2 linked regions of the Danio rerio genome follow. The protein of the gene in region 1 purifies or fractionates together with the protein of each later gene. This does not show direct contact. Links are inferred from orthologs where the notes say so. Each region holds a gene or a part of one and is shown in the gene's direction. Other genes may lie near its edges.

What was found. The genes of interacting proteins can lie anywhere in the genome.
Region 2: the proteins of atp6v1f (region 1) and atp6ap2 purify together in Homo sapiens (affinity purification with mass spectrometry; 3 studies listed by BioGRID and IntAct, counting the BioPlex papers as one, with this or other methods). This does not show direct contact. The link is inferred for Danio rerio from reciprocal best matches to the Homo sapiens genes ATP6V1F and ATP6AP2.

The regions. Positions count from the first base shown.
Region 1 is NC_133179.1:20,642,979-20,646,989, reverse strand, and holds atp6v1f (V-type proton ATPase subunit F), read left to right. Parts: upstream 1-1,367; 5' UTR 1,368-1,471; coding exon 1,472-1,629; intron 1,630-2,733; coding exon 2,734-2,935; 3' UTR 2,936-3,466; downstream 3,467-4,011. Other genes in the region: ragulator complex protein LAMTOR4, read right to left, coding at 739-855, 1,006-1,008. UniProt on the Homo sapiens protein: Subunit of the V1 complex of vacuolar(H+)-ATPase (V-ATPase), a multisubunit enzyme composed of a peripheral complex (V1) that hydrolyzes ATP and a membrane integral complex (V0) that translocates protons.
Region 2 is NC_133197.1:10,785,688-10,790,016, reverse strand, and holds the start of atp6ap2 (renin receptor), read left to right. Parts: upstream 1-1,405; 5' UTR 1,406-1,419; coding exon 1,420-1,567; intron 1,568-2,396; coding exon 2,397-2,527; intron 2,528-2,627; coding exon 2,628-2,756; intron 2,757-3,386; coding exon 3,387-3,482; intron 3,483-4,329. UniProt on the Homo sapiens protein: Multifunctional protein which functions as a renin, prorenin cellular receptor and is involved in the assembly of the lysosomal proton-transporting V-type ATPase (V-ATPase) and the acidification of the endo-lysosomal system.

The DNA.
Region 1 (4,011 bases):
TATATAGAAAGAGACAGAGAGAGAGATAACCCCTTGAGCCAGGTGTGTCCAACAGACAGACAGACAGACAGACAGACAGATAGATAGATACAGTTAAAGGCACAATTATTGGCAATAAATAAATATTTTCCTTTTTTAATTTATTTTCATGAAGGCTGTTCAAAAGGAAGAAGATTTCTCAACACATTTTTAAAAATAATAGTTGTAATATATATATTTTTTAACAGAATCTGTCTTTGCCATGATAACACTGCATAATATTTTGCTAGTTATTTTACAAGATATTAGAATTCATCTTAATGAGTAACTTAAAGGCTTAACTTGGTTAATAAGTTTAACTAGGCAAGTCATTGAATACCATTATTTTGTTCTAAGGGCCTATTAACCTATTAAAATTGTTATTTTTTTATTTAAAAACTGCTTTTATTCCAGACAAAATAAAAGAAATAAAAAATTTTCTCAAGAATAAAAATATTATAGAAAATACTGTGAAAATGTCATTGCTCAGTTCATCATAACTTGGGAATTTTTTTTTAAATAATATGTATCAGTAGAGGCGTAATAATTTTGCCTCAAAGTGTAGACAGGCAAACAGAGACAGACAGAACAATAAGACTGACAGACATTGAATTCTAATTAATTATTTCTCATTTGCCCAAATCAGGATTCTCTTTTCAACGCATTTCACCCTCATGTCAAGTTCTCCGAAAATGTAAGTTATGAATTTTAACAGCTTACCGCGAGTACTCCGTCTTCACTAATAACCAAGTACCCAAGTTGATCGGGTATTCTCTCCAAGCCTTGAGTCAAAGCAGTAGTCTGACATTCAACACACGATAATACTGTAATTAAACACTAACAGAGCTCATATGATATTAGACTGCATCATCAATCACATTATTTACAAAATCTTTGTTTTATAAGTTCTAAATGCACTAAAACAAAACATTTAATAAAAAAAACATTTAATTAAACAAATATTTTAAAGGTAAGAATTATATTTACCATTTTAGACAGTGCAGATAAATGTACACTGCTGTTTTCCTTCACACCCCGCCTCACGTGACTGACATCAAGCGTCGCGTGTTTATAACGTCATTCCAGGAGATGTTTTGCTTATTCGACATTATTTTTGTTTATATGCATTGGAAACGTACAAAATGTGATAAAAAATCTTAGTATGACTAAAACGTGGCGGATTTTTATTTAATTTGCTAGGATTTATGCGCTGTTCTCGCATTTAACAAAAAATAATCTGTATCAGGATCAGATTCGCTGTCATAATCACCGCACACAGGTCGGTCGTTAACGCGAGCAGCACAGATCTCAGATCAGCTAAATAAGGCGCTTACGCGACTACGCAAAGCGGAAGTGAAGTGGTCAGCTGATTAAAGCATATGATCCTGCTGAACGGAAAACATTTCGTCCATTCTGCGTCTTTTATTTGAGCAAAATATAAGACAAAGTCACGATGCCCGGACGAGGAAAATTAATCGCAGTTATCGGTGATGAAGACACGTGCACCGGATTTCTCCTCGGAGGGATCGGAGAGCTCAATAAAAACCGTAAACCCAATTTCTTGGTGGTGGAGAAGGAAACCAGCGTTACAGAGATAGAGGAGACCTTCAAGTAAGTGACACGATCCTAAATGTCTGAATGACTCAACATCATATATTACAATCTAATTATCAAATATGTGTCATTACAAATATATGGATGAAGACTTGCTTTTTAAAAAAATATTTATGTTTATCTATCTATCTATCTATCTATCTATCTATCTATCTATCTATCTATCTATCTATCTATCTATCTATCTATCATATCAGCCAAATATTTTAGAAAAAACATTTATATATAAATTATTTTTATGTAGTAATAATTACCTAAATTTGTCAAGAAACCCACTTAAATGTCTTTTAGTTTAACAATATTTTATATACACCAGTAAACTGTCAATCATATTTGCAAGAAACTATTAAAGACATATCAAACTATTAATATTATGAATTACAGTGCAGCCCCTATTGACAATTGTCATTTAAATATCCTTTGTCACTATTCTTCAAACTACTGATCAATTTTGAATAATTTAAATATAAGAACATGTTTGTCTGATCTCTTCTTATTCTGACGATAGATCATTTTGAGGAATGTAAACAAAAACAAATGTTCCAACGTATTTTCTGTTTTACATTTTTAATTTTTATAGCTTACGAGAATCTAAAAAGAGCCTGCTTATTGATAAATAATGTTATGATAGCTTTTTTAGAATTAAGTTATTATTCAATTGTTTCTTTGATATCAAGCATAGGCCAATGTCATCACCACAATGAAATGGTCTATATGAATAAGTACAAGTCCAAGTCAATATGTAGTTTGGTATTTACATAAATATGCAATAATGTCTGATTTTGATTATAATTTCACCCATGCTTGCATTTAATTTTCAGAAGAGTTATTTGAAACATCAAAGTATGCGCTGTATATGCATTTAATACAATAATAAAATTATATTATGTATAACACCTTAGTAGACATACAGAAAAAAATGTCTTACTAACACATATATTATGCATTAATATATACAGTAAACATTACTTTTCCCAATAACCTTTTGAATTGTAATTTTTGGATTAACAAATAGATGCAGAGAATAGTAGATTTTTGTAATTGTACAATTTTTTTTCTGTCAACATTAACTACAGCATGTCTGTCGTTTATGACTAACAGGAGTTTCCTTGCTCGCAATGACATTGGCATCATCCTTATCAACCAGTTCATCGCAGAGATGATTCGACATGCCATTGATGCCCACATGCAGTCCATCCCGGCTGTGCTAGAGATTCCCTCAAAAGAGCATCCATATGATGCCTCCAAAGACTCCATCCTGCGACGGGCCAAGGGTATGTTCTCTGCAGAGGACTTCCGATAACCTGTTACTACCCATGCAGGCTCACAGTCTGGCCTGAGCAGATGAAGGAGTTGGGTATTCTCATCCATCTCGCTGAAACTGAAAAGCATATTATGAGGAGTAAATAATGATGTGTGTTTAATCAATGTTCTGTGATGTATTTTTTGCCATTCCCAAGGAAATAGTTTTTGTCAGTGCTCCTACTAATAATTATTTTAAAATATATGTTTAATATAACAATCATATATATCATATATAAAAATTCAATATATTATGAATTTCCTTTTAAATGCTGTCACTTTAATATTTAAGTTCCTGAATGTCTTTCTCAAACTTGATAATATTAGACAGAAAACAAACTCTCTACATCTGTTACTGTAAATTGGTGTGCTATGCATATATTTTTTCCTCATTGTATTGGTCATTGTTTTGAAGCATTTCAAAGAAGCTTTCCTCAATGTGATGCAATTAAAATGTGTTCAAAGTATGTGATTTGCAGTTATTAAAGGTAATTGGAGTATTATGCTCTATTGATACTGTGGTGATGGAAAATAAATATTAAGGTAAAATATGCAAATACAAAAAAGACTAGAATAATGCAAATAGAAATGCAAATAATGCATATAAAAATATGATGATTTGGTCATGTTAAAATTCAATCAGCCAATCACATGTCAGCAATAAAATGTGTTTAGGAATCTATGTGGTCATGATGATTTAACGTGACTAGGGATTTTAGAGAACAGTCAGATAAATGTCCCGAGTGGATCTATGTGGGTAAAGAGAGTTTGTTTGTGACAGAAATCAGAATAGCATGGAATAACACTTTAGAATAATGCTACATCAGTTCATGCATCTACTAACATGAACTAAGTAGGGGTAATCTTGAAAATAATTTATTAACCATTAGTTCAACATTTACTAATGCATTAATAATAGCCGAAGTTGGTCTTGTTAACATTGGTTAATGCACTGAGTTAACATCAACTAACACTCTTTAATTAAATTAACTTTATTAACTTTAACAATGATGAATAAGTACTGAATGTATTACTAATTGTTTGTTCATGTTAGTAATACATTTATTATGGTATTTT
Region 2 (4,329 bases), on another chromosome or scaffold:
GTAAATATAAATAAAAATAAATTAAACATTATAATAAAAATACTATATTCCAAGAGCAAAAAAAAAAAAAAAAAAAAATATATATATATATATATATATATATATATACACACACACACACACACACACACACACACACACACACACACACACACACACACACACACATATATATCAATCATCATACAACATGTTTAGAAATGTGTTGAAAAAATCTCTCCGTTACATAGAAATTGGGGGAAAAAATTAACAGGAGTACTTCAACGCTATATATTTTTTCCCCCAATTTCTATTTAACGGAGAGACTTTTTCAACACATTTCTAAACATAATAATTTTAATAACTCATTTCTAATAGCTGACTTATCTTATCTTTGCCATGATGACAGTAATTAATATTTTATGGATATTTCTCAAGACACTTCTATACAGCTTAAAGTGATATTTAAAGGCTTAACTAGGTTAATTAGGCAGGTTAGGGTAATTAGGCAAGTCATTGTATAACGATGGTTTGTTCTGTAGACTATCGAAAAAAATATATAGATAAAAGGGGCTAATAATTTTGTCCTTAAATGGCTTTTAAAAAATAAACATCGTTTTAAACATCTATTTTAAACATCGTTTGGGAAATATTTAAAAAAAAAATATCAAAAGGGGGTTTAATAATTTTGACTACAACTGTGTGTATATATTCATTTAAAAAATAAATTAAAAAGAGAACAATTTATTAACTGAATCTTAGATTAGAAGTAATAATACATTGACAACAACTATATTGAAATAAATTGTTGGACAAACGTTGTATATGTGGAGGGTAAAACTTAATTTTTCCTTATAATTAGCAGAAATTATGATTTTGGGGTACCTTCAAAATATAATCTTTGGAATGGGGTCTGCAGTATGCTATTATTTGATTAAACATACAATTACTGCAAATTACGATTTTAAAAGTTACCTGAAAGGTCAAGGCAGTCTTGTAGACGGGAAAACTGTGCATAATACTAACCTTATGCTGTGTAAAATCCTTGCAGATAGTTGATGACATGTCACATGTCCTGAAGGTCACTAACCTACAGACAGATGGATGGATATATGGATAGATAGATAGATAGACAGACAGACAGACAGACAGACAGACAGACAGACAGACAGACAGACAGACAGACAGGGTCTTGTTTACATCCTTTACGGCTAGAAACGCCTCTGCTGTTAATAATTCCAGTTTAGGTCTAGTAACTTTACGTAAAATTGTTACATTTACACAATTTTCCCCTTCTAAATGTCTCTTCGCTGTAAACAATATAAATTATCAGCATTATCCAACTACATTGGTCGGAATATTGACTTTAACGAACACAAATGTCGGTAAATTCAAGTAAAGTTTGAATCCCGCGGTGGCAGTCGAAGCAGACTGAGGGAAATGTTGTTGCGTCATGACGCACGACGTCACGCGGCTGGCCCTGGTCATGTGACTGGTGTTGCGAGGAAGCGCAGTCCATCAGAAAATCGTCCCGAGATGAATCGAATAATTATGAACGCCGTATTTGCCCTTATAGGACTCTTATCAGGTAAATTGACTTTATATTTGGTCTTTGACGTGTACGTCGTTTTGTTTTATAGGGTCCAGGGGGTTTTAGCGTGTGTTTAATGAATTAATGGCGGCTGCAGTGGGATGCCATAATCCGCAGTCATGTCATTCGATTAAATATCTCCGTTATCAATGTTATCCTGTTAATTCAAGAGTATTTGGAAAGATATTGTGTTTATGTTGCACTCGGCTGTTAAATACAAAGGGGTTTAGTGTTAAATGTTGATCGTGAATGAGGAAGCCCAAGCGGGTCATGTGACAGTCATGGTTTATTTAACAAATCCTACATTTCTAATCAATATTATACTTATGATAGAAATTAAGCTTATGTATTTGTGTTTTTTATACTAGACTAGATTTCAGTGGTTTATATGACACTGGACACCCAAATCTGATAATTTCGGTGCCTCCTAAATGTAAACTGCAGATATTAATGCGTGTTTTAAAACCTAACTCAGAATAATTTATATTAAAAAATATATATTTAAAATATTTGTGGGCTATTTAGTTTCAATAATGTTTATTTAGCTATTTCTATGCATTATAGTGCTGTAATGTTTGATTCTTCTGATTTATATAATTTACAATTTCAACTGCTTTTTTACTTATTTGCTTTGTAATATTATTTTTCATTTGTTTATATTGACTTTCATGAAGTCCTGCTTGAATACAGATGTTTTAATGTACTTAAAACACACACAAAATGTCATTGCGAGGTCATTAGATACAGAAATGTCAAAGCGATTGTCATTTAATTCCAATAAAGATTATGAAAATATGTGAAAATTGATTTCTTAATTTTCTGTCAGGTGTTTTGGGGGACAGTTTGACAGTTTTGCGAAGCCCTCAGTATGTGACTTTTCGGGATGAGCAGTGGCCCATATCGGGTGAAAAGATCCCAGATTTAGTTGCTCTGACCATGGGCTTCTCTGTTCGTGAGGTATTATGTCTGTTTTTTTATTTTTCTTATTTGTTGTAATAGCACATATGATGTCTTAATGTAAACACTGTGATAAACTTGATTTTTTAAAATCTTGCAGGATCTCGATTGGCCAGGTCTGGCTGCCGGTTCACTGTTCCAGCGTCCTCGTGCTAACGCTCTAATCGTTGTGCGTGGCATCGACAGCCTGGACTTTCCAAAAAACGTGTCCTCTTACCCTCTCGAAAATGTGGGTGACACATTCTCACATGCTGGATTTATTTTATGATGTGTGTTGTGCGTTGTTTTGTCTGGCCTTTTACTGATCTTTGACTCACTTTGCAGTTTACCAGAAACTATTGAGTAAAGATAAATAACTCCCTTTAGAACCGGAAAATGGGAAGCAATGTTCATCAGCTATATTTGTAAGTTTTAGAATTGAGCAGCAGTGTAGTTTCCCCTCCAGACTTCCCCATTTTATATCATGAGACATAAGACGCTTTTATCTATCTTGGACTGTGAGGGAAACCAGAGCACTCGGAGGAAACCCATGCGAACATGCAAACTCCACACACAAACTCCTACTGACCCAGCCGAGGCTCGAAGCAGCGACCTTCTAGCTGTGAGGCGACAGCACTACCTACTGCGCCACCACGTCGCCAGATGGAACATTATTTCAGCCATATTTTATTTTCACAAATGTTCATTTTAAACATTGAAGTGGACACTGTACTTGCATTCAATTTGACAGACTACTTCTGTATATACTAAATCATGGTTCTAAATTGGGTTTGATGCAAGACCAAAATGAAACTATCTTTCTTAATGTCTGCCGTTCAGTCTAAATTTTTATCTTCCTGTCTATCTGTTTATGTTGCAGCCGGTTCCGTTCACTCTGGACAGTGTGGCGAATACAATTCACACGCTGTTTGCTGACAGCACGCCTGTGGTCTTACAGCTCGCACCCAGTGAAGAGGTATGACCATAATAAAACACTAACCACACTAATGATGCCTGCAAACAAACAAAATGCTCTGCATTGCAAACCATGCATTTGAGAATGAAGAAGTAGTGTGCAGTTTAACCCTTTATAGGGCACTTTTTGAAATATTCATCAGAAATACAATACTAATGCTTCAGGGGCTTATAACAAGACTTTTGAACTTTTATGACTTGAAAGTTGTGTTGTAATGAATGTCAATGAAGTACTATATGTGACCCTGGACCACAAAATGTGACAGTTTTGACAGTAGCCAAAAATACATTTACAAGTAAAAGCTCATGTTCCATGAAAATATTTTATAAATGTTCTACTTTAAATATATCAAAACAAAATTTTGATTTGTAGCATGGATTGCTAAGAATTTAATTTGGACAATTATTATTATTATTATTATTATTATTATTTTATTGAAGTTTTTATAAAGATAGTATACAAATAACATTTACTTAGAATGTTTACAATCACAAAAAAGAAACAAATAGAAAGAAAACAATAATTGATAAATATTATAATAATAGATAAATAATATTGACAGCTTAAAAATAAAAAAGAGGGGGAGGGGGGGGGGGGGTTAATAAATAAATAAACTTCAATATAAAGGCAATAACTAGGACAAAGACAAAACCCCTGACAGCCTTTCAAAGATCAAGTAAGTATGTTTCAAATAATGCCCTGGTCTATTGGAAAAAGTTTGATTTCAAGTCATTTTGTCAAATACATATATATTTCTGTTTCAACCTCTGTGTCCATTCTGTTGAAGTAGGTTGTCGGGTCTTCATCCAGTTCACTGTAATTATTTTCCTAGCTGTTATTAATAATT